Elephas maximus indicus: one gene and its partners. The protein of the gene in region 2 interacts with the protein of the main gene of each other region in a pairwise test. Links are inferred from orthologs where the notes say so. Each region holds a gene or a part of one and is shown on either strand. Other genes may lie near its edges.

Region 1 (7,774 bases), about 61 Mb from region 2:
ATTCTCAATCCCTCCCGCCTGATAATAGGCTACTTAAGGGAAGGGAAGGGAATCAAGTCTGTTACCACTTTTTATCCTCAGCATCTGGATAATATGCTGCCTCTGTTTTTTTTTTTTTTTTATGGTATTCATTTAGTATATTTTGATGATAACCCACAGCAAGAAATAATACCTATAGTCCCTTTGATTGCACGTTCATTGACAGAAGTCAAGGTTAAATACCCTGTCTTTGGAAATGTTCCTCCAGAACAATGCTTTTAAGACAGGAGAGCCAGTCACTATGATTTTAATTGCAAGCATCGTTTTGTCTCCAATAGCCGTTAAACCCATTACTTGCTCCTTTGGCTGTCTTTCATTTAATTATGCTGGAAGCGGATTTAGGAAATGACAATAGATGGTTGCAAGTGGGGATTTCTTACACTAGAAACAGAAGTAGTAGTCTAGACTAGCCCACTCTTTCAGCGAAAATCGTGTACAAAAGAAACACTAAAATAAAAACCAAATTGCACTACTTCCCTTTTAAATCCTAATGTTTCAAAAATAGAGCTCAAAATCCTGGGCCTGTTTAACATTGCCCTGTATGTCCTGGCCCCTCTCCACCTCCCCATTGTCATCTCCACCACCCAGCCCCTCACTCACCACACCCTGGCCACAATAGCAGGCTCTCACTTCCCTGAATTGTCAAGCCCTTCTCTTTCCCTGACTTCACGCTATTAGCACTCTCTGCCTGGATGCCCCTCCCCCACTTCTTTCCTTGATCAACTCCTGTCATCCTTTGAGCCTCAGTCTGCTTCTCACTTCCTCAGAGTTCTTCTCTGATCTCCCTGAGTAGGTTTGGCCTCCTTGTCATATGCTCCCACATTCCTTACACAATTGTAATTAGGTATTAATTGTGAAATAGTCGTTTTTGTGTCTGTGTTCTCCATTAGACTGTAAGGTCTCTGGCAGCAGAAACGATACAGTTCTTCTGCACTGCACTGTTTTCCATGTCTAGAATAATGCCCGATACATAAGAGATGCTTGATAAATATTTGTTGAACAAAATAATGGACATTTTATGAACGACCATCTTAGAAACATTTCAGGGAAATATATCATTCTAGTGTGATTCACATAAGGAGCTTAATTCTTCTCCTACTGTGCCACGGCCAGCATCCTCTGGGTCACCTGACTCACATGAAATGACCATATATGTTTATAAAGTAACTTCAACTCTTAAGAAAGCAAACCCAAACTACCGAGCACTGTACGACAAAACTTCACTTGTTCCCAGACAAAATCCAATCAACTTAAATGATTTGGTGTTATATGAGAATTTAAACATACTTGTTTTATTTAAAATTGTCTCATTTATGCACACCAACATGGATATTCCTACAGTTCTTTTGAAATGTATACTGTTGGGTAAAAAGAGCAAGTAAGCAGTCTCATAAGCTATGAAATTTCTGCAAGTGGAAACCCTTTATTACGTGACTAGTTAATATGGTCTTCTTCCCCAAAGGCTCCAGTAACCCCACTGATATGTCCATACCCTGTTTCTGTGTCCTTCCAGCCTTGAATCCCTCTGCTGAGTCGGACAACTGGAGAAGAAATTAGCACCAGCTGCAGAGGAAATCTTTCTGATACAAAAATCTGACCTGAAGGGGTCCAAGCCCTGAATATCTTTCTGGCAGGGGGCTAACAGTTCACCCTATTTTCATTGACGAGTCCGAGGTTCATATACTCTCATTCAGATTTCCTCCGCTATGCTTGTCTTAACTAGAATGGGTTTAAGACTCACCTAGTTTCTCAGTTCCCTCAGTTAAAAGAAAGAGAAGGGGAAATCTAATGCTATTCTGCAACAGCTTGCAAACCCATGGATACCCCTGCATTCTTCTTCTCATACCCACCTTTTCTCATTTTTCGCTTAATAATCACAAAGAGCAATATGGATACACGTCTTGTTTGGGAAGTAGGTGTCAAACACACACCTACCTCACAGCAGAAAGAAATACAGTTATAGGACATCAAGTCTTTCTCAGTAGTGACTGACCTGCATACTTCTAAACTATCAGACCCATCATCACAGGTGGCAGGAGGCTCCTGAACAGAGTTATTCACCCGGAGCCCTGAATCATCCACATGCTCGCCAGCTTCTGGAACATCCAATATTTCAGTGCTGGAATCTCTCTCTGAAAGTCTTTTCTTGATTGTTGCATTTTGCCTGAGACTAGGCAAGAGCCGAGAGTTTCTCTGGTGGTGTCTACCTTTGTTTTCCTCATGAATCCTTGAGTATCTCTTAATTTCAAAGGATTCTCTAGGCGGGGAAAGATTGCATTCTTGGAGCCTTGTGCCTTCTCCTCTTCGCTGATTTATAAAGCAACTCTCACATTCGATCTGCCCTTGTTGCTTTGTAACTTTGGTTCCCAAATCTGTAAGTTCAGTTCTTTTAGGTGGGGAAGGCACACCCAAGTTTCCACAAGGCTTACTATTATTATTTATCCTTCTCCTTCATGACAGTCTGAACTTAACTTGGGCTCTTCTTTTAGCCTGAATCCAATGACTCTCATCTGTGGAAGATGAATCTGAAGAATCTTCATGAAGCTCACTCCAGCTGGGGTTTAAGATTTGGAGGTTCATATCATTTCTCCTCCCTTCCATTTGTTCGTCTGCATGCTCATATCTCTCTGAGGCCCTTTTCCTTCTCCTAGGCCTCTGTTTTAATGGTTTCTTACCAGACTCCTTTCTAGCAGAGCTCAGCACCACGACAGGGGTATAATGTTCAAATGCATCTTCTGACATGTCATGCAAGATGGCAGATCTGGACAAAGCAGCAGGCAGAGGATGAGAAATGGGAATGGAGAGGAGAGCCATGGAAAAACAGAGAAAAAGATGAAAATGAGAGTATGGACTGAAGTTAGTAAATAAAGATCAACTGAAGAAAATGAAATAAAGGAAACAAAATAAGCCAGTTTAAATTGTCCATGGACAACGTAAGGCAGAAGCAAGAGCCACACATCCTCAGAACATAAACTAGGAATGTAACACACTGGTCTAAAAGAACTATCGAACAGGATCGTTTGCTCAGTACTCACCTGCAGATGTCTTGAGTAGATGGACACACAGACAACCGTGACTGGCTCCTGGGAGCTGTTCCTGTCGTTGGGCTGCTAGCCTGGAGAAACAAGTTAGATAATTTGGCATCTTGGTTCACGTAATACATAGTTGATATTTTATTTGTTTTCCACATATTTAAAAAATTACAACAAATGTGGCTGCCAGTCATGTTGCTTATAACGCAGCTCACAGAATACAGGAAGTTAGAGCGTTTGGTTTGCAAAAGTAAAACTTGTTTGAGGAACTTGGAACAGCTGAGAAGCTGTACCACTTTGCTGTTGCTTCATTTGTGAGAGAGGAAGACAATTCCTGTTCTACTTACTGTAAACATTTGAGTTGAATGGCTCGATTTGCTCTGAAACAAATAGGTAGCACTTGAAGATCCTATATCACAAGAATGATAATAATCTGGGAAGCCAGAATAATCAACTAGCCAGTGACACTGTCTGGAGTTAACACTAATTTAGGTCAAGATCATATGAGATAATATATTTGGAAATATTTTGCAGTATTTAAAAGCCTATAGTTATTGCTGTTACTACTTGCCATTGAAACAAATGAAATCTATCCATCACAGCACTATAGACCTTTCATATCTTTTAACCGTTACCATACTGAGTATTAAAAAAACAAAAAAGCTGTTGCCATTGAGTCAACTCTGACTCATAGTGACCCCGCTGGGCAGAGTAGAACTGCCCCAGAGAGTTTCTGAGGCTGTAATTTTGCAGATGCAGGCTGACACACATCTTTCTCTAGAGTTTGAACCGCTGACCTTTCATTTAACAGCTGAGTGCTTAACCACTGTACCACCAGGGCACCTAGAGTCTAAGAGAGTCTGAAACGATTCAGATTATTGGTACAATGTTCAGCACATTTCTCTCAATTTCTACTTTGAAAGAACAACATCTTCTTCACCGTATTCAACTTCATTATCCTTTTATGTTTAACACAGATGAAGATGATAATAAATGAAAAGCTGGAATTTATTGAGAATTTACTGTGTGCCAAGCATTGTGAGGTGCCCGAATCCACTGTGCCTTTAATTGTTACAATAATCTCATAAGTGGGAAATGATAATAACTAATAATTTTGAGTGACTATTATGTGCCATTCACTCTTCTAAGCATTTTTAGTATATTTATTCATTGATTTTCACAAGAACCTTATTTGGTAAATACTGTATTTTCATGTTGCAGATGAGGAAACTAGTAGGTGGTAGAACAGACATTTGAACCAGGAATCTGGGTCCAACATCTGTTCTCTTATCCACCAGGCAATACAGCTTCTCTTCCTTCACACAGGAGGAAACCAGGAGAGTCATGATTCCAGATTCAGGCCTATTTGATTGTGTAGATGCAATACACCATATTGCCTCCAAGAAAATAACAGTAACGGTAGAGAGACTGACCTCAAATTTCAAAATCATTCTACAAATTCCCTCATTAGAGATATACACAGACAGTTGTGAGATACAGAGAAAGAGAAACTAATCCTAACTCAAGAGGTCAGAAAAACTTTCAAAAGGAGGGGTGGTGGGCTGAGTAATGGTCTCCTCAAACGTCCATGGAGTCCCTGGGTGGTACAAATGGTTAACTTGCTCAGCTACTAACTGAAAGGTTGGAGGTTAGAGTCCACCCAGAGGTGCCTCTAAAGAAAAGCCTGATGATTTACTTCTGAGAAACCGGCCTTTGAAAACTCTCTGCACAGTTCTACTCTGACACACACGGGGTGGCCACGCGTCATAGTCTACTTGATGACAACTGATTTAACTGGTAAAGGTGTTCACATCTTAATCCCTGGACCCTGTGAATATGTTACCTTACATGGTAACAGTGACTTTGCAGATGTGATGAAGTTAAGGATTTTGATATGGGGAGATTCTCCTGGATTATCTAGGTGAGACAAATACTCGTGGCTTTCTAAGAGGAAGGCAGTAGAGTTACGGTCAGAGACAGAAGGAGAAAAGACCGAAGGTTGGGAAGAGAAGTCATAAAGAAGAGAAGGTGTTATACCGCTGGCTTTGAAGATGAAGGAAGGGGTCCTGAGTCAAGGGATGCAGGCGGCTTCTATAAACTGGAAAAGGCAAAGAAATGGATTCTCCTCTAGAACCTCCAGAAGGAATGCAGCCCTGCGGACACCTTGATTTTTAGCTTAGTGAAACCGAGTCAGGTTTCTCACCTCCAGAGCTATAATAAATTCATGTTGTTTTAAGCCCCCAAATTTGTGGTATTTTGTTATGGTAGCCACAGGAAGCTGTTACAGGAGGTGGCACTTTCACTTAAAGTCAAACAACAGTTAGTAAAGAAGTGATTAAAATATTCCAGTGTGCTCACAGAAAGGATGACACTCTCAACATGCTCTAATACACCGCCATACATCTGCGTGCTTTTTTTTTTTTAAAGGGGTAACATCTCTTTATTCTCTATTCTACTTTTTTATTATCTGTTTCTAGGAGGAAAAATATTACATACAGTCAGTGTTTTTGATGCCAGTATGGACAACAGCAGGCTTGACAGCAATTACTCCATTACAACAAATATAAAGGCACATTTTAAAACAGGAGTAAGATCTTATTACAATTACTGAGAATTGCATTGTATGGAAAAGAATGGACTAAACCATGGAAACTTGCATTTGAGTCAAGGCTCTGCCACCTGTTGTGAACTTTGGCAAATTACTTTTCATCTTTGAGCCTTCTTCCTTCTCTATAAAATGAGGTTAGAAATTTCAACTTTAAGCATAGTAAGGAAGAAATTAGATAATTTGGTATCATAAGCTAGTATATGGTGTATACCGTACTAGTATACTACACATTGTAGTTTGGCATATACTAATATGTATTTGCTCACTTTTTTGCCTATCTGTTCATCCGTTCGTTCAAATACATCCATAAGGCAACATAGTAAACTAGATATACTGTGAACCAAAGAATTTTCTTTTTTTTTAATTACCAAATACAATTTATTTTATCGTCAGCCATTTATCTCCCAATAACCATAAGACAAACATCTGCATGTTTTTGATTTACACTTTTTGGACTACTATCTACTAATTCATGAACACTGTGTATTTTTTTCATCTTCAAACATCAGGCCATGCTTGATTAATTTCTTGAATATTCTGTATCAAAACTCACTTTCTTCAACTCTTTTTTTTCCACAGATTAACGTCATCTCACTCTGCATCCTTGGAATATACATATAGCTAATTTTATAAAATGTGAGCATTTCTGCTCTGTAAACAGTAAGTTTCATGACACTCACTGTGCACCTCCTGTTCTGAGTGCAGCTACTGTGGTCAGTGAGGAGCTCTGAATACAATAGGCACTGAGTAAAGGGTATCTGTGAGGTTCATTACTAAACATCTTCTTTAAAAGAGCAACGCAGCCCCAAAGTGGAGTCATTATCATTGATGTGATGCTAATAATAAGTGATAATTATCATTGATGTGAACCCACTGTACTGAGCATCATAAGGGATATCCATGGCTATTTAATGGTGTGTCAGAGCTGATTGGAATGTACAAGCAAAGATGTTATAAGCAGATATAATCATAATAGGACAAATTTTTATAATCTCACAGGTCTGAGCAAATATATGTTTTAAAATGGGAAAAGGATTTATCAGTGAATAACAGCACAGACATTAAAAAACATTTCTAATGCAGCTTTTCTTTGAGAGTTTTTGGCCTAGCATGACACTGAATCAAGTAGTTTTTATGTCTATAACCCTTAAGTATTTTGCAGAGAATAGAAGCCATTCCTTGTTGCCCATAAACAATCTTTAAATAGCTTAAATCCAGTGTTAGCTTATACATGTTTAATTTGCTGGCGAGCTACTGTAGCAGGTACTGTTGATCTCCAGCCCATACCCTTGGTCCTCCTCTAAGTTCACCTATGCGCTGACTGCTTTCCCCATCAGTGCCTGTGCCTCTGTTTCTCTGCCCAGGTCTTTTCTGGTGTCATGTGCCCTTGTGTCCCTTCACACTGACACAGTCTGAAGGCGTGGGGTAAGTTAAAGCCCCTGAGGACAATACTGGAACTGGAGTCAGTGAACAAATGCCCCAATTTCTCCAGTTTCCAAAAGGACAATTCTGAGGTGACTTCCAGAGAATTTCTCAAAGAATTCGAAGCAGCATCGAGGCCCAGTTGTACCAGCTCATGAGTATACGTTTTATTGGCTTTTCCCCTTTCTCTGCCTTAATTTTCCACTTCTTGTTGTTGTACCTCGGGTCACCTCCCTGATAAAATACCTACATCGAACTAAGTTAGCACCTAAACTAAGACCGGAATTTGTTGACCAGCAGACTGTTATTATGGAAACCCACTGAAATAAAATGAATTCTACTTTAATTTACAAATGTGAACTAGGGTCTATGATGTAATAGATACTATACTGGGCTATGAGAATAAAGAAATAGCTCCATGGAGGGACTTCCTGTTTAGTGAAGGAAAGATATAAGCAAACTGGAAATTTTAATACAATCTAGTGTACCCTGACAAAAACAAAACAAACAACAACAAAAAAATCCATTGCCATCAAGTTGATTCCGACACATAGCAACCCTATAGGGCAGAGTAAAACTGCCCCATAAGGTTTCCAAGGAGTGGCTAGTGGATTCAAACTGCCAACCTTTTGGTTAGTGGCCGAAATCTTAACCACTGCACCACCATGGGTCT
Region 2 (7,894 bases):
CCCCTAGGCTCGGCACTTCGCGCCACGAGCTCCCGGGCAGGCGGTCACGGAGACCCGAACCTGGAACCCTAGGGATAGGAAGGGCTTGGGGAGTCCTTGTGAGCCCAGCCTCGGCTGGATTCTGGGCGGCGGGGAGAAAGAGGGAGGGCTGGCCCCCTCCTCCTTCCACAATCCCACTCCTAGAGCCCTGAATTTGGACGGGGCTGGTTTAAGTACCCAGAGGTACCCCACTCCGAAGTCGGACTTGATAGCGGCAGGACGAATCTCCCCCAAGGCCTTCTGAAAGAAGAGTCACGATTTTATTTGTGTTCATGTAGACAGGTGAATAAGCAGAACAAGTAGCCTACCCCCTTTTAATTTTTTTTTTTTTAACTTTTTTAAATAACATCAACCACGTGCCAGGCTCTGGGCCAGGCACTTCACATTATCTGCTTCTTATGTACATTATTAAATCTATATAATCCTTTCAGGCTGACATTATTAATCCCATTTTACAGATAAGGAAACTGAGGTGCACAGTTAAATAATTTGTCTGACGTCCCACAATTAGCAGCCTTCAGAGCCTGAAAGAGACCCTGAATCCAAGCTCCTTGCAATATACCAGGTGGCTCCTCTCCCTGGGTCCCTGCCCTAGAAACCCTAGAAACCGTCTGTGCTACTTGGCTGAGGCTGCCAGGGCTTGAGCTGAGAAAGAAAAGATGGGAAATGTGGCTAAGAGTTCCCCGGGCTGGGTTATTCCAAGGTTGGGGAGCAGCCTCTGCCCATACCTTCCTGCTCCCTGAGAGAGAACCTGGCTTCAGCATAATCCTGTGGCAAAGAGCCTAGTGGCCTGAACACAGGTTCTGAGATGATGATGAAAGTGAACACTGCTGAGTGCTCACTACCAGCCAGGCGCTGCTCGCTTGTCCTAACCACAAACCCCACGAGGTGGGTACAAGTACCTTTGACTTTTGGTACCATTTATGCATTAAATATCTACATTTTTACAGAGGAGGAAACTGAGGCCTGAGAGGTTAAATGACATTTCTAAGGGAACTATGTGATAGTCAGCTAGCAAACCTGTGTTCAAATTCCCGTAGCGCTGTTTTATACTTAATTTCTTAGAGCCTCAGTTTACCCCTCTGTAAGGTGAAGATAACCAGTTGCTGAGGACTCAGTTTCAACTCATGGTGACCCCATGCGTGTCAGAGTAGAACCAGGCTCCACAGGGTTTTCAATGGCTGATTTTTCAGAAGTAGATGACCAGGCCTTTCTTCTGAGGTGCCTCTGGGGGGACCCATACCACCAACCTTTAGGTTAATGACTGAGCATGTTAGCAGTTTGGACCACTTTAAACAAACAAACAAACTTATTGCCACTGAGTTAATTTTGACCCATATTAACCCGATAGGACAGTGTAGAACTGCCCCATAGGGTTTCCAAGGCGAAGCTGGTGGATTCGAACTGCCGACGTTTTGGTTAGCAGCTGAATACTTAACCACCAACCGCCTTGGACACCAAGGCTCCAAAATGAAGATACTGTGTTAACGAGATAACGTATCATTTGGGCACCCTTACAAACACTGCGAAAACTGGAAGCTTGGGGAAGAATGTGTGATCGTCAAAGTTGATCAGGGTGATTGGTCTGATTGGGCCGCTCCCCAGCTAGAGGTTTCTCCCGACAGAAGAGCTAAGTAAGACTCCTAGGGACCACCCTGGAAGGGTGCCACACTGGGGTAGATCCCACCAGCAGCACCAGCCACAGTTGGACCAACAATACTTTTGTAGTCAGACAGAGACAGGAAGTGAGTCACAGTTTTTCCTTAATCTGTGAGCAAGAGAACCTCATTGAGGGGAAATAGGGACAGGGCTGGCCCCACCTAGCTTGAGAGTCCCCAGTGTACTTCCCACTTGCCCTCTGGCCTAGGAAGGTCAAGCCAAATAGAAAGCAGTATTGGCTGCCTCCAGTGCCCCACCCATCCTGGAGGCTGGCTCCAGGGAACCAAAGTGGGTCTTTGAAGGAGGGGGAGCCTGTACTCAGATGACTCCCACCCAGGCAGAAGCACTGGACCCTCCCAGTTTCTCCCTGCTAGCCTACCCTCCCCCCTCCCCGCCCCCCCTCTTGGCAGGAGGCACAATTCTTTAGACTGCTTTGCTCAGAGAAGCATCACTGTGGGGAAGTGGGGGAGGGGACCTGGAGGTGAGCTCCTGTTCTTGCTTCACCCAGAGCTTTTCCCCTTTTGTCCCTCATATATTTTGGTGTGTCACATAATGTATTTTTACTACAGGTCTGCTGATAAAACAAATTTGAAATCCCCTCTCAGTGAGGCCCCAGTCCAGTGGGTCCTCGGAAGAGAATTGGGTCTTGCCCAGCCCGTGACTGCTAACACAGACTGCTAACACAGACTTCTTCCTTTGAAATAAGCCCTGTGGGCAGGTATTGTTCTTGTTATCACTTCCAATCCACTTATCTGAGGCCACAAGGCCCGAGGGAGCTAAACTGCCACTGGAGCCTGAGTCGCCTGACTGGGCGCCTCTGTAGTCACAGTTCAGCAGTTTTTCACTGCAGTTACTAGAATGGAGTGGGGGGCATGGGGTAAGTGACAAAAGCCTAGAGATGGGAGGAGGGATGACCCGGCAGGGAGAAGTGGGGCCTGAGGGGCAAGGCTTGGAGAAGGAGAGAAAGAAGAGGCTGTGAGGGGTTCTTTACTCCGCAGCAGGGCTGAGAGGAAAGAAGAGTCTAGCCAGCCAGGCCTCTTTTTATCCTAGGATGTGGGGCTAATTTGGGAAGCTGTCAAGAGTAACCATAGTCCTAAATGCACGCAGTTACCCCGACCCCAACTACTCCCACTGTCCCTTGCGGTGCTCTGGGGTTCCCCTTTCTCAAACACTCGTCCCCACTCTCAGGCACCTCAAACGAAGCCTTCAGCAGTAGCACCCACACCTGGTTTTAATCAAAATGTCTACACAATATTCATACATGTGTAGAAGGGCATAAGACACAGTTTAACTGGTGTTTTCTCTGAGATTTGAGAGCTTTTTGTTTCCTTCCCTTTGCTTACCTGTATTTTTAGGGATGTCTACAATAACATACTAATGAAAAAAATTAAACCTTCGAGTCAGGCAAAATTGAATAAAGCATGCCCATACTTCACCACCTAGCTCCAGAACACCTGGGATCCATCCAGTTCCTGTGACTTCCCCCTCTGGCTGCTGGTGCAAGGGTCAGGTTCCTCCTAACTCGTCACAGGGCAGGGCTTTTCCAGGTCTGGCTAAACCACTTTGGGAAAACCTTTATATGACAGACAACCAGGGTGTCTGTGGGTGGGGGGAGGAGCTAGAAGTGGCTTAGTGGTGACATATGTGGTTATGCTGGGACAGGATCCCAGCAGAGCCAGCCCTTCTCATTTTCCCATTTATTGGGGTGGGTCTGCGTGTACGTTTTACCAACTGGCGCCATGCATCCCATAGTCACTTGCTGGTTTAATGGTTCCCTTCTGCCAGCTCCATGTCTTTAGTGCCTAACCAGCACTACCACAATTAAACGCTCCCCCCGCCACAAAAAAAAAAAAAAAAAAAAAACCAGTTGTTGCCTTTGAATCGATTCCGACTCATAGCAGAATAGCATAGGAAGGAGCAGCTGATGGATTGGAACTGCCAACCTTTTGGTTAGTAGCCTAGCTCTTAACCACTGCGCCACCAGAGCTCTGTCCTACTACAATTAAAAAAAAAAAAACAAAAACCAAACACGTTGCCATCGAGTCGATTCCAACTCAGTGACCCTATAGGACAGAGCAGAACTGCCCCATATGGTTTCCAAGGAGTGCCTGGTGTATTCGAACTGCCGACCTTTTTGGTTAGCAGTCGTAGCTCTTAACCACCACGCTGCCAAGGTTTCCCTATCATGATTAGGCACCTAATAAATGCTCTGGGTCCAGTGCAGCCTGACAGGCATTCATTGAGCACCTGCTGAATGCTGGGCGCTGGTGCTTCTGAGCTGAGTCCCTTAGACCCAATGTCTGGTAGAGTTGGAAAGAGGTCCCTGAGATGTGCTAGGATCTTCCTGAACCTGAGATCTCCAGTGGCCCTGCAGTCCCAACAAGCCTGCTGCCCTTCCTTCTCCCTGTTGGTCTAGAAAAGTAAAGCAGCCAGTGATCATGATTTTTTTTTATTGTGCTTTAGGTGAAAGTTTACAGCTCAAGTTAATTTCTCATACAAAAATTTATACACATATTGTTAAGTGACCCTAGCTGCAATCCCTGTAATGTGACAGCACACTTCCCCTTTCCACCCCTGGTTTCCTGTGTCTATCCAACCAGCTCCTGCCCTTTTCTGCCTTCTCATCACACCTCCAGACAGGAGCTGCCCATTTAGCCTCATTTTATCTTCTACTTGAACTAAGAAGCACATTCTTCACGGGTATTATTTTATGTTTTATAGTCCAGTCTAATCTTTGAAGAGTTGGCTTTGGGAATGGTTTTAGTTATGGGTTAACAGAGAGTCTGGGGGCCATGTCTTCTGGGGTTCCTCTAGTTTCAGACCATTAAGTCTGGTCTTTTTACATGAATTTGTGTCCTACACAACACTTTTCTCCTGCTCCGTCAGGGACTTTCTGTTGTGTTCCCTGTTGGGGGGTCACTGGTGGTAGCTGGGCACCATCTAGTTCTTCTGGTCTCAGGCTGATGGAGTCTTTGGTTTTTGTGGCCCTTTTTGTCTCTTGGGCTAATATTTTCCTTGTGTATTTGGTGTTCTTCATTCTCCTTTGCTGCAGGTGGGTTGGAACCAATTGATGCATCTTAGATGGCCACTTGCTAGTTTTTAAGACTCAAAGGGCATTATTTTGAAAATGACTAACATGAAATAGCCCATTCCTTGACGATGCCAGATAAATGAGGGGTCATCGCAATACTTAAGAAAGAAACAGAGAGAAAAAAAGAAGAGAATGATCGTAGACTGCAAGGTTGGCCTAGGTGAAGGATGTGAAGGGATGCTAAGGAGAATCTGCTCAGGCACTAATCACCGAGGCCATCAAGATCCTGTCCTCTGGCCTTGGGAAGTGTCAACAGCCTTTCCGCTGGATGATGTTATCAAACCAACAAGTCTGGAATGGCATTATGAGGGTCTTCGGAAAATAAAATAACAAACGTCTTACTGTCTACCAGGAAAGGAACAGATGATTCTGGAAATTACAGGATCCTCCACTAACTTTAATCCCTAAAACAAACATTGCAAGGGAAAAAGTCAGCTAATACTTGGAGGAAGGCGGTTGCGTGGTACACCTGGGTTGCCAAGCGCGTTTATAAGAGCCTGCTGCCTGTGCCAGCCTGTACAATAAAGGTGCCAGCACCACTGAGGCCCAGAGGAGCACACTTGGCAGGGAGGGGTACCCAGGAGGGAGAACTGTGGGCAGCAAACACTGATGGTAGAAATACTACTTAGCTGGTAGGAGACCTCCACAGTGGTCAGAAGAGACCCTGAGTGGGGCGGTGGGGCGGGGGGCGGGGGGCGGGGGGGGCATGGACAGGAGTTGTGATGGAGATAAGTTATGGGTGATAATAAAAGCTTCTGTTTGTGGAGGGTTGACTGTGCACCAGTCAGTTCATTCACTCATTCCTCAGCTATTGATTGAGCGCCTATTGGGTGTCAGGACTTCTTCCAATTAAATAAGAGCCAAGACGCCAGCTCTCACGGCACTCAAGTTCTGGCGAAGGAGGCAGGCAACACACAGATAAACATGCTAATTTATAAGTTTAGATGGTGTTGTTATTGTGGTTAGCGGCCTCGACTCCCCCCTGCACAATGAATCTGACTGTTGTGATCCATACATTTCGTTTTTTTTTTTCTTGTTGTTGTGGAGAATATACACAGCAAAACATACACCAATTCAACTGTTTCTAAATGTAAAGTTCAGTGACAGTGATTACAGTCTTCCAGCCATACAACCATTCTCACCCGCCTTGTCTGAGGTCTTCCTCCCCTATTAACATAAACTCACTCCCCCTAAGGTTTTTATCTGTTCTTTTGAGTTGCTGTTGTCACTTTGATCCCATATAGATAGTTCCTTAAAAGAGCATAATGCTCGAGGCAGACATTCTTTACTAGGTAAGCTAAACTGTTGTTTGGCTTTAAGAAGACTTCAGGGAATATTTTGGTTTAAGATTTAAAGATTATCTCAGGGCAGTAGTTTGAGGGGTTTGTCCACCTTCCATGGCTCCAGAAAGTCTTGAGTCCATGAGAATTTGAAACTGTTTTGCATTTTTCCCTTTTCCATCAGGATTCTTCTATGGAGTCGTTGATCAAAACGTTCAATAATGTTAGCTGGGCACCATCCAGTTCTTCTGATGTCATGGCAAAGGAGACAGTTGTTCACGGAGACAATTAGCCACACGTTCTGTATCCTTCTATTTCTGGCTGTCCTTCATCTTCTGTTGCTCCAAGTGAGTAGAGACAAATTCTCATGGATCTACAGGGTTTTCATTGGCTGATTTTTGGAGGTAGGATCGCCAAACCTTTATTCCTAGTTTGCTTAGTCTGGAAGCTCCATTGAAACCTGTCCAGCATCATAGCAAGATGCAAGCCTCCATTGACAGACAAGTGGTAGTTTTGCATGAGGTGCGTGGGCGAGAATGGAATCTGGGTCCTCCACATGGAAGGTGAGAATTCTATCACTGAACCACCACTGCCCTCTAGATGATCAGAACCCAAACCCATCACTATTGAGTCAATTCCAACTCAGCAACCCTACAGGACAGAGTAGAACTGTCCCATAGGGTTTCCCAGGAGCAGCTGATGGATTTGAACTGCTGACCTTTTGGTTAGCAGCTGTGGCTCTTAACCATTGCTCTACCAGGCTCTAGATGATCATAAGTACTTTGGAAAAAAAAAAAAAAGTTATGTGACAGTGCCTGGGGGTGGAGGAGCACTGTCCCTAGGATGGTCAAGGAAGACCTCTTTGAGGAGGTTAAGGTCAATGGTACAAAGCTCTGGAGAAGGAGCATTCCAGGCAGAGGAAACAGCAAGGGCACAGGCCTGGTGCGGAAGTTTGTGCACATGAAGAGCAGAGACTTATTGGAGAGCAAAGGGAGAGGGCAAGGATGAAAGGAGATGAGGTGAGCAAGGTAGGCAAGGGCTAGATCGCACAGGGCTTGACAGACTGGGTCAGGATTTTGAATTCAGCTCTCAGAGCAGTGGGCAGTTTTGGGAGAATTTACCCTTTTTAAGGAGTCCCTGGGAGGTGGAAATGGTTAGTATACTGGGGCTGCTACTGAAAGATTGGAGGTTGGAGTCCATCCAGAGGCATCTCAGAAGAAAGGCTTGGTGATTTACTTCTAAAAAATCTACCACCGAAAACCCTGTGGAGCACAGTTCTACTCTGACATCCATGGGGTCGCCGTGAGTTGGAATTGACTATGCAGCTGGTTCACTGGTTTACCCTTTTTAAAAAGCCCCTCTGACTACTGTGGGGAGAAGGGATGTAGGAGGTGAGAGCCACAGCAGCCCTACACAGGAGACACCATTAGTGAACGTCCCAGTGTTACATGTGGGGGACAGGCTTGGGGGAAGTTGAATAACTTTGATAAACAGCAAGAATTTTGTGAGCTCTTGAATAGGCCTGAGAAGGGGGTACCACATGTTTGTCCTTGGAAGCAGGAACCCTGTTCTGGTAACAGAGCTATCAAGCATGGCCAGGCCTGGGATCCCAAAGTCCCATCACTTGAATCTGCTTGGGACATCTTTAGCAGGAGACTTGGCAACGAGGGCATGCTTTGAGTTAGCAGCTAAAACTCAACACTCATTCCATGTCAGGAATGTTATTTGGGCTTTATGCTGATTGCCTTATTTATCACTCATAACAACCCTTAAGGCAGGTACTATTATTAACCCCATTTTACAGATTGGGAAACTGAGGCCTAGA
Region 3 (7,664 bases), on a different chromosome or scaffold from region 2:
CTGGGCTCAAACCACCAATCTTTAGGTTAGTAGTTGGGCAAAAATGATTTGCACGACCCAGGGACCTAGCCATCCCTTTTACTATCACAGGAAAGAAAACACTGGGAAATCTGCTAAAGCAAGACCCTACAAATCACCAAAATAAGAATAGCGGCTATTGTTTATTAAAGAGTCTTGAAGGAAGTACAGCCAGAATGCTTCTTAGAAGTGAGAACGGCAAGACTTTGTCTTGCTTACTTTGGATCCGTCATCAGGAAATACCAATTGCTAAAAAAAGGACATCATGTTTGGCAAAGTAGAGAGATGGTCAGTGAAAATGAGGGAAAACCTCAATGAAATGGATTGACACAGTGGCTGCGATGATGGGCTCAAACTTAGCAACGATTGTGAGGATGGTGCAGGACGAGGCAATGTTTCATTCTGTTACACATAAGGCCACCATGAGTCCGAGCCAACTAGACAGTGAATAAGAGCAACAACAACAACCTTGTTTATTAAGTACCTACTGTATGCCACGCAGGAATCCTTGGGAGGCATAATCAGTTAAGTGCCTGACTACTAGCCAAAAAGCTGATGGTTCGAATCCACTCAGCGGTACCTCGGAAGACAAGCCTGGTAATACACTTCTGGAAAGTCACAGCCTTGAAAACCCTATGGAGTACAGATTTATTCCGCACATGTGGAGTCACCACGAATTGGAATCAACTCGATGGCAACCGGTTTGGTTCAGCTTTTGGCATGCCAGGTGCTGCGCTAAGCAAACTGCTTATATATTAATCATCTCACTAAAAACTCTACACGGTTATTATAAGTGTCCCCTTCAAAAGTCACTGCCCTGGAGGGGCCTCCCCCAACCACCCTGGCTAAAGTGTCACCAGAGTTCAGATTACTCCCTTCAGAGGACAGGCCACCCTCTGAAAGGCTCTTATTTGTCTCCTTGTCAACTATGTCTGTCTTCCCACTCTTCAGTGAGCTCTGTGAAGGGACTATGTTGGACTTGGTCCCTACTGTCCCCAGCACCTGACACCATCTGGCACAGAGTTGCTGTATTAATTTCTCAGGTCCTACTCTGGTGCAAACTGTCTGCACTCATCTACTAACCTAAAGGTGAGAGGTTCGAATCCACCCAGCAGTGCCACAGAAGAAAGACTTGGTAATCTGGTTCCATAGAGATCCATAAAGACCCAAGAAAACCCTGTGGAGCAGTTCTACTCTGTAACACATGGGGTCGCCATGTGTTGGAATCGACTTGACAGCAATGGGTATGGGTACTCTGTATAAGAACAGAGCGGGAGAAACAGATCCCTTGACCCTAGATCCTAGTGTGCCAGCCTCCATGGTGGGAATCGGAGAGGTTTAGAGGCTAGAGGTCCAAATGAGTTACAGAGGCTTGCACAAAGCCATACTCAAGGCTGGGTGTCAGGATAGGGGCGGCTGCAAGTTGGACTCAACTTTGGGTCTGCTAGGATGGGAGAATGAGCCAACACCTTGGGCAGACTTAGCCCAGTGCCCTGGAGATAGATTTCACTGAGTCTTCACAACAAACCTGCAAGTCGTATAATTGCCCCCACTTGACAGAGGAGGAGACTGAGGCCCAGAGAGGTGCAGTTACTTGCCCAAGGGCACACAGCCAGGAAGGGACAGTCCAGCGAGTGAGTCTGGGGCTCATGAGGCCTGGGTTTCTTGAGTCCTGGCTCTGCCACTGATGCTGTGTGAACTGGGACACTTCACTTAGCTTCTCTGGGCCTCATCTTCCTCCTTTGTAAAATAACCTGATGGAGTCGGTGGACTGTGAAGCTCACTCTCCCTCAGCTACATCTGAGGTAACACTGGGGTGCCACAACCTTTCCACTCCTCCCCAGCCTCCTGTTCCTGAGGGCAGGGAATTGGGGGAAGAGGACTCAGAGGGCCCTAACTCCCCACAGAGTGATTTCAGACAAACTGCTTCACCCTCTGAGCCTGTTTCCTCATCTGTAAAATGGGGTCATAATGTTACCTAGCTCATAAATCAGTAAACATTAAGTCAGTAAACATTAGCTCTTATTATAATTACATCATTACCTTCAGGAACTGTTGGGAAGGCTTGATGAGAAGCACAGTCAGTGCCTGGCACACAGTAAGTGCTCAATAAATGCTTTGTTGTGTACTGTCAAGTTGACTTCTGACTCCCGGCAACCCCATGTATTACAGAGTAGAAATGCCCCATAGGGTCTTCTAGGCTGAAATCTTTATGGGAGCAGGTCGCCAGGTCTTTCTCCTGGAGAGCTGCTGAGTGTGTTTGAACCACTGAATTTTCAATTATAGCCGAGCCCTTGTGCCACCAGGGCTTAATAAATGTTAACCGGTATAATTTTTTAGGGTAGCTGTGGAGCCAGCAAAATGCATTCATTCATCTTCACTCACTACCAAGGGGCTCCTGTGTGCCCTGTGGCCACAGAGAGGAAGACATCGATGCCTTCTTCACTACTTCTCTGGCCCTGCATCTGGGGCCAGGTTCTAATTCCAGCTCTCCTCCTTATTTGCTGTGTGGCCCTGTGCAAGAGTCTTAACCTCTCTGAGCCTCCATTTTCTCATCTGTAAAACAAAGAAGACTTCTAGTACTTCCCTCTCCTCCGGTTCCTAGAGGACATTGTTGTGTTAGGTGCTGTCCAGTAGATTCTGACTCATAGCAACTCTATAGGACAGGGTAGAACTACCCTATAGGATTTCCAAGCTTTACGGGAGCAGATTGCCAGGTCTTTCTCCCGCGGAGCCGCTGCGTAGGTTCAAACCACTAAGCATTGGGTTAGCAGCGGAGCGCTTAACTATTGCGCCACCAAGACTCCTTTAGAGGGCTGAGTGAGTGGATAATATAAATTCTGGCCACTCTGTCACAGTGCCGACACATTATATTTACTATTAGCCCCTGAGGGGCAAGATGGGGACGTCACTGACCACTTGGTGACCACCTACGGTGTGTCGGGCACTTTCCACATGCGCCCCTCCTGGGTACTCCCGACCCCGTTTCACAGAAAAGGAAACTGAGGCTCTGCGAGGCGCCTACTTGTGTGTCGAGCTCCAGGAGCCTCTCGCCGCCCTCGCTACGGGAATGGCGGCCCCGGCGTCCAGTGGGAGGCCAAGGCCGAGGGTCCGAGCCCGGCTGTCGCGCGCAAGGGGCCTCGAATCCGGGCGGGCCCGCAGACGGGCGTCCCCCGTCCCCTCCCGCCGTCCCGGCCTACCTGCTCCGCGGCCGGGCCGGGCGACCGCGCAGGCCCCTCCGCTCACCCCGGGCCCTGTCCCGGCCCGGCCCGGCCCGTCCCGTCAGCGCCGCTCGCTCCGCTCTGGCCGGCACCTGCGTCCGGGCACCGCCCGCCGAGCTAACTGCGCCGCTGGCCAATAGCAACCGCCTCTCGCTCGCTCTCGCCAATCGCCGCACACGTCCCGCCCCGGGAGGCGGGGCCGGAGGGGACAGGGACATCCTGGGCCGCACAGGCCCGACTGCGCCGCAGCTGCTGGTTCCGCCCCTGCCGCGTCCCGGCACCGCCCCTTAACTCCGGCTCCGCCCCCATCCCTGGCCCCGCCCCATTCCTGCCACCGACCAGAGCGCGGCTGGCAACGCCACCTGCCGACGCACAGTGCTTTAAACTCGTAATAAAACCGTTGCAGAACGCCGCGTGACACCCGGCAATAAGCTACTTATAAATGTTCATCACATCCCTTACGCTTCTTATCAACTCGGGGGAGGGAGAGACAGTATAACTGCATTTACAGAGGAGAAAATAGAGGTCTGGAAAGGTTAGAGGACCGTGGAGGGAACCTAGAGCTAAATCATTCATTCAGCAATCATTCATTGATTCATCCAGTATGTGTTTGTTAAAGGCCTATTATGAGCCAGGCACTGTGCTAAGTGATGGCGACACAATGTTGAGTGAGACAGACATATACTGCTGCCCTCATGATGGACCTCAATCTAGGAAGTGACACAGACATTAATCAACCAATTATAAAATTAATGAGTAACTACAAATGTGATAAATTGTGGTAAGTGACTTCACTTAGAGCACACACACAAGTGTGTAAGTGGTAAGTGAGGGGATATACCATCTTATGAGAACATGGAAAAACTGGGGGATGTCGGGAAGTATTTCCTTGCAGAAGAAGCAATTGAGCTGACACCTTACGGATGAGTAGACATTACCTAGGAGAAAAGGGAAAAAGAGTCCCAGACGCATGTTCAGCACATGCCAAAACCCAGAGGTAAGATGGAGAATTGTCTTAATACTTCCTTCCCCTTCTGCCCCACCTTGATCAATATATAGATCAGCTCCATTATCTCAGTTAGGTCCCTGGGTGGCACAGCAGTGCTGTGGAAGAAAGGTCTGGCAATCTGCTTCCATAAGGATTACAGCCAAGACAACCCTATTGAGCAGTTCTACTCTGTAACACATGGGGTTGCCATGAGCCAATATTAACTCCATGGCAACGAGTTTGGTTTTCATTATCTCAGTTAAATTCTGGTGTGTGGTACTGTCTTCTAAATGTTTTTAATAGAAAGATAAACTGTAGTGTTTTTTAAATAGTAACCTATAGAGGGAAGGAATAGGATGGAGGGGACAAGGATAGAAGCTAGACTTTTTTTAATTGAAAATATGCTTTGTTCTGTAGATTTGACTTCACAATCATGCAAGTATTTTATGTAACTATAAATCGAAATAAAAAAATTAAAGAAATCCCTATAAAACAAAATTGAAATAAAACAAATGAACCTGTATATCCAGTTGGTGCCAAAACAACACAGATGAACTAGTGATTTTAAAACACCACTATTCAACTGTATACACTACTCTATTATTGTTGGTGGTGTTAAAATTGTTTCTCTGAACTTGTGGATGTAGAGGGGGATAAAGAAAAGAAGCAATTATGTTAATGCCAAGAACTGGGACTTTCAGAGGGAGTGAAAGGAGATACAGATGTAAGATTGATTAAACACCCCGTGATACTGAATTTGAGTTGGGAATAATCATGATCTATTTTACCTTTTAATTTACCTCCATAACAAAACATTTCCACTGTTTTGTTAGCTCTGTCCACTGAAAAGATCAGAAACAAAGACTGACCTAGTTGCAATGGGCACTCCTAATACTCAGACTGTGGTCTCTAAATACCATCCCAGGGAACCTTAGGGAAATGTCTGGTTCTGGGTCTGGGACGGGAAATGTACAAAATGAGCTGGGTCATCTCGTCATACCAGGGAACAAGAGTTATCAAGATAGTGGGAGCTCGGTGGTTGAGAGTTCAGCTGCTAATCAAAAGGTCAGCAGTTCAAATCCACCAGCCACTCCTTGGAAACTCTACAGGGCAGTTCTACTCTGTCCTATAGGGTTGATTGAAGTGGGAATCAACTTAATGGCAATGGTCAGTGGGATCAAGATAGTGCCAGTAGAGGCAATCTAGAAGAGGCTTTCGTGGGGACAGGGTTGGTTCAGTGGTAGAATTCTCACCTCCCATGCAGGAGACCTAGGTTCCGTTCCTGGCCAATGCTCCTCATCCACAGCCACCACCCACTCCTCTAGGAGTCTTGCGTATTGCTATGAAAATATTTGAGCAGGCTTCAGAGGAGCTTCCAGACTAAGATGGACTAGGAAGAAAGGCCTGGCAACATATTTCTTAAAATCGATTCATGAAAACCCTGTGGATCACAATGGTCCAATACGCAACAGATCATGGGGATGCCACAAGACTGGGCAGCATTTCATTTTGTTGTACTTGGGGACGTCATGAGTCGGGGACTAACTGGACATCAGCAAACAACAACAGAGTACATACACGGCACTACCTGAACCTCATCAGGCCACTAGATCTAACTATTAATTTGCAGGAAATGCAGAGGACAAAGGGACATGTTAAATGACATCCTAGGTCCATAGAGACAGAAAGTAGGTTAGTGGTTTCCAGGTACTTGCCAAAGAATGGAGGAAGCAAGATGAGGAATGATAGTTTAATGGATATGGGATTTCTTTTTGGTAGTGAACACGTTCTAGACTTAGTGGGGATGGTGCACAACATTGTAAATATACTAAAACACACTGATTGTATACTTTAAAACGGTTAAAATGGTAAATTTTTATGTTACGTGAAATTTCTCAATTTTTTCTAGAAAAAGAAAACACACACACATCATAGGGAGGTTACTGGCAACATTCAGACTGAGAAACTACAGGACAAATGACTAATTTCTTTAAAAAAAAAAAAAAATCAAGGCCAGAAAAATAAGAGCTACAAGGGGAATTTGTAGGTTATAAAAACTGAAGTCTTAAATCAGTTAGAATGTGTAGACTATGTTTTGACATTGATTCAAACAAATCATTCAAAAAATTATAAGACAGTCAGACAAATGTGAACACTGGCTCGACATTTGATAATATTAAGGAACTATTTTATTCTTCATTTCCTTAGGTATGATAATATTGAGGTTACATTACAAAAAGTTCTTAAATTTTACAGCCATGTACTGAAAGCTTTCTAGCAGGACTGTGTCTGGGATTTGCAAATGGGAGGGGAATAGGGAGTACAGATGAAACAAGATTGGTATGTTGAAGCTCAACATATAAGGGGTTTATTAGACTCTTACTGTCTCTGGGGGACCCCTGGGGGTGCAGTGGTTAAGAGCTCGGCTTCTAACTGAAAGGTCCAGCAGTTCAAATCCACCAGGTACTCCTTGGAAACCCTATGGGGCAGTTCTACTCTGTCCTATAGGGTCACTATGAGTTGGAATCCACTCAACAGCAACGGGTTTTTTTTTTTTAAACGCCTCTGGGTGAACTCAAATCACCACCCTCTCATTTAACAGCGAGTGCTTAACAATTCGCACCACCCAGGGCAAAATTTTTTATATGTTTAAAATTTTCCATCATAAAAGTTTTTAAAGTTTTGGTGTACTTCTTTCCAGCCTTTTATCTGGTCATTTTCCCCATTTGTGAGAACCTTCTGGCCCATAGTTGTTGCCATCTGGTCGGCTCTGACTCATGATGACCTTATGTACAACAGCACAAAACCTTGCCTGGTTCTGTACCATCTCCAAGATCGTTGGTATGTTTGAGTCCATTTTCTGGTTCCGTACCATCGACATGATTGTTGGTACGTTTCAGTCCATTGTTCTGATTCTGTACCATCTTCATGATCGTTGGTATGTTTGAGTCCGTCGTTGTGGCTATTGTGCCAATTTATCTCATTGAGGGTTTCCATTATTTTTGATGACCCTCAACTTTGCCAAAAGTGATATCTTTTCCTATAGATCAGTCTTTTCCTGATGATGTATCCAAAGTAAGCAAGCTGAAGTCTTACCAACCTCGCTTCTAAGCAGCATTCTGGTTGCATTTCTTCTGACTTGTTCTCTTGGCAGTCCGTGATATATATATATATATCAACGGCAAATATATCTATATATATACCCATTGCCGTCGAGTTGATTTCGACAGAGTAGAACTGCCCCAGGAGGTTTCCTAGGCTGTAATCTTCACAGAAGCGGACTGCCACCTTTCTCCTGCAGAGCGGCTGGTGAGTTCTAACCATCGACCTTCCAGTTAGCAGCTGAGCACCACCAGGACTCCTTAGTCCATGATATAACCAAAAACCCATTGCCGTCAAGTCAATTCCAATACATAGTGACCCTATAGGACAGAATA

What was found.
Region 1: the proteins of FURIN (region 2) and MARCHF1 interact in a protein complementation assay, tested with the Homo sapiens proteins (2 studies listed by BioGRID). The link is inferred for Elephas maximus indicus from reciprocal best matches to the Homo sapiens genes FURIN and MARCHF1.
Region 3: the proteins of FURIN (region 2) and MARCHF2 interact in a protein complementation assay, tested with the Homo sapiens proteins (2 studies listed by BioGRID). The link is inferred for Elephas maximus indicus from reciprocal best matches to the Homo sapiens genes FURIN and MARCHF2.

Annotation. Positions count from the first base shown.
Region 1 is NC_064831.1:13,917,609-13,925,382, reverse strand, and holds the start of MARCHF1 (E3 ubiquitin-protein ligase MARCHF1), read right to left. Parts: upstream 3,345-7,774; 5' UTR 3,266-3,344; coding exon 3,075-3,265; intron 1-3,074. UniProt on the Homo sapiens protein: E3 ubiquitin-protein ligase that mediates ubiquitination of TFRC, CD86, FAS and MHC class II proteins, such as HLA-DR alpha and beta, and promotes their subsequent endocytosis and sorting to lysosomes via multivesicular bodies.
Region 2 is NC_064831.1:75,239,499-75,247,392, reverse strand, and holds the start of FURIN (furin), read right to left. Parts: upstream 3,240-7,894; 5' UTR 3,138-3,239; exon of another isoform or gene 3,130-3,137; intron 1-3,129. UniProt on the Homo sapiens protein: Ubiquitous endoprotease within constitutive secretory pathways capable of cleavage at the RX(K/R)R consensus motif. Mediates processing of TGFB1, an essential step in TGF-beta-1 activation.
Region 3 is NC_064821.1:13,132,332-13,139,995, reverse strand, and holds the start of MARCHF2 (E3 ubiquitin-protein ligase MARCHF2), read right to left. Parts: upstream 3,345-7,664; 5' UTR 3,219-3,344; intron 1-3,218. UniProt on the Homo sapiens protein: E3 ubiquitin-protein ligase that may mediate ubiquitination of TFRC and CD86, and promote their subsequent endocytosis and sorting to lysosomes via multivesicular bodies.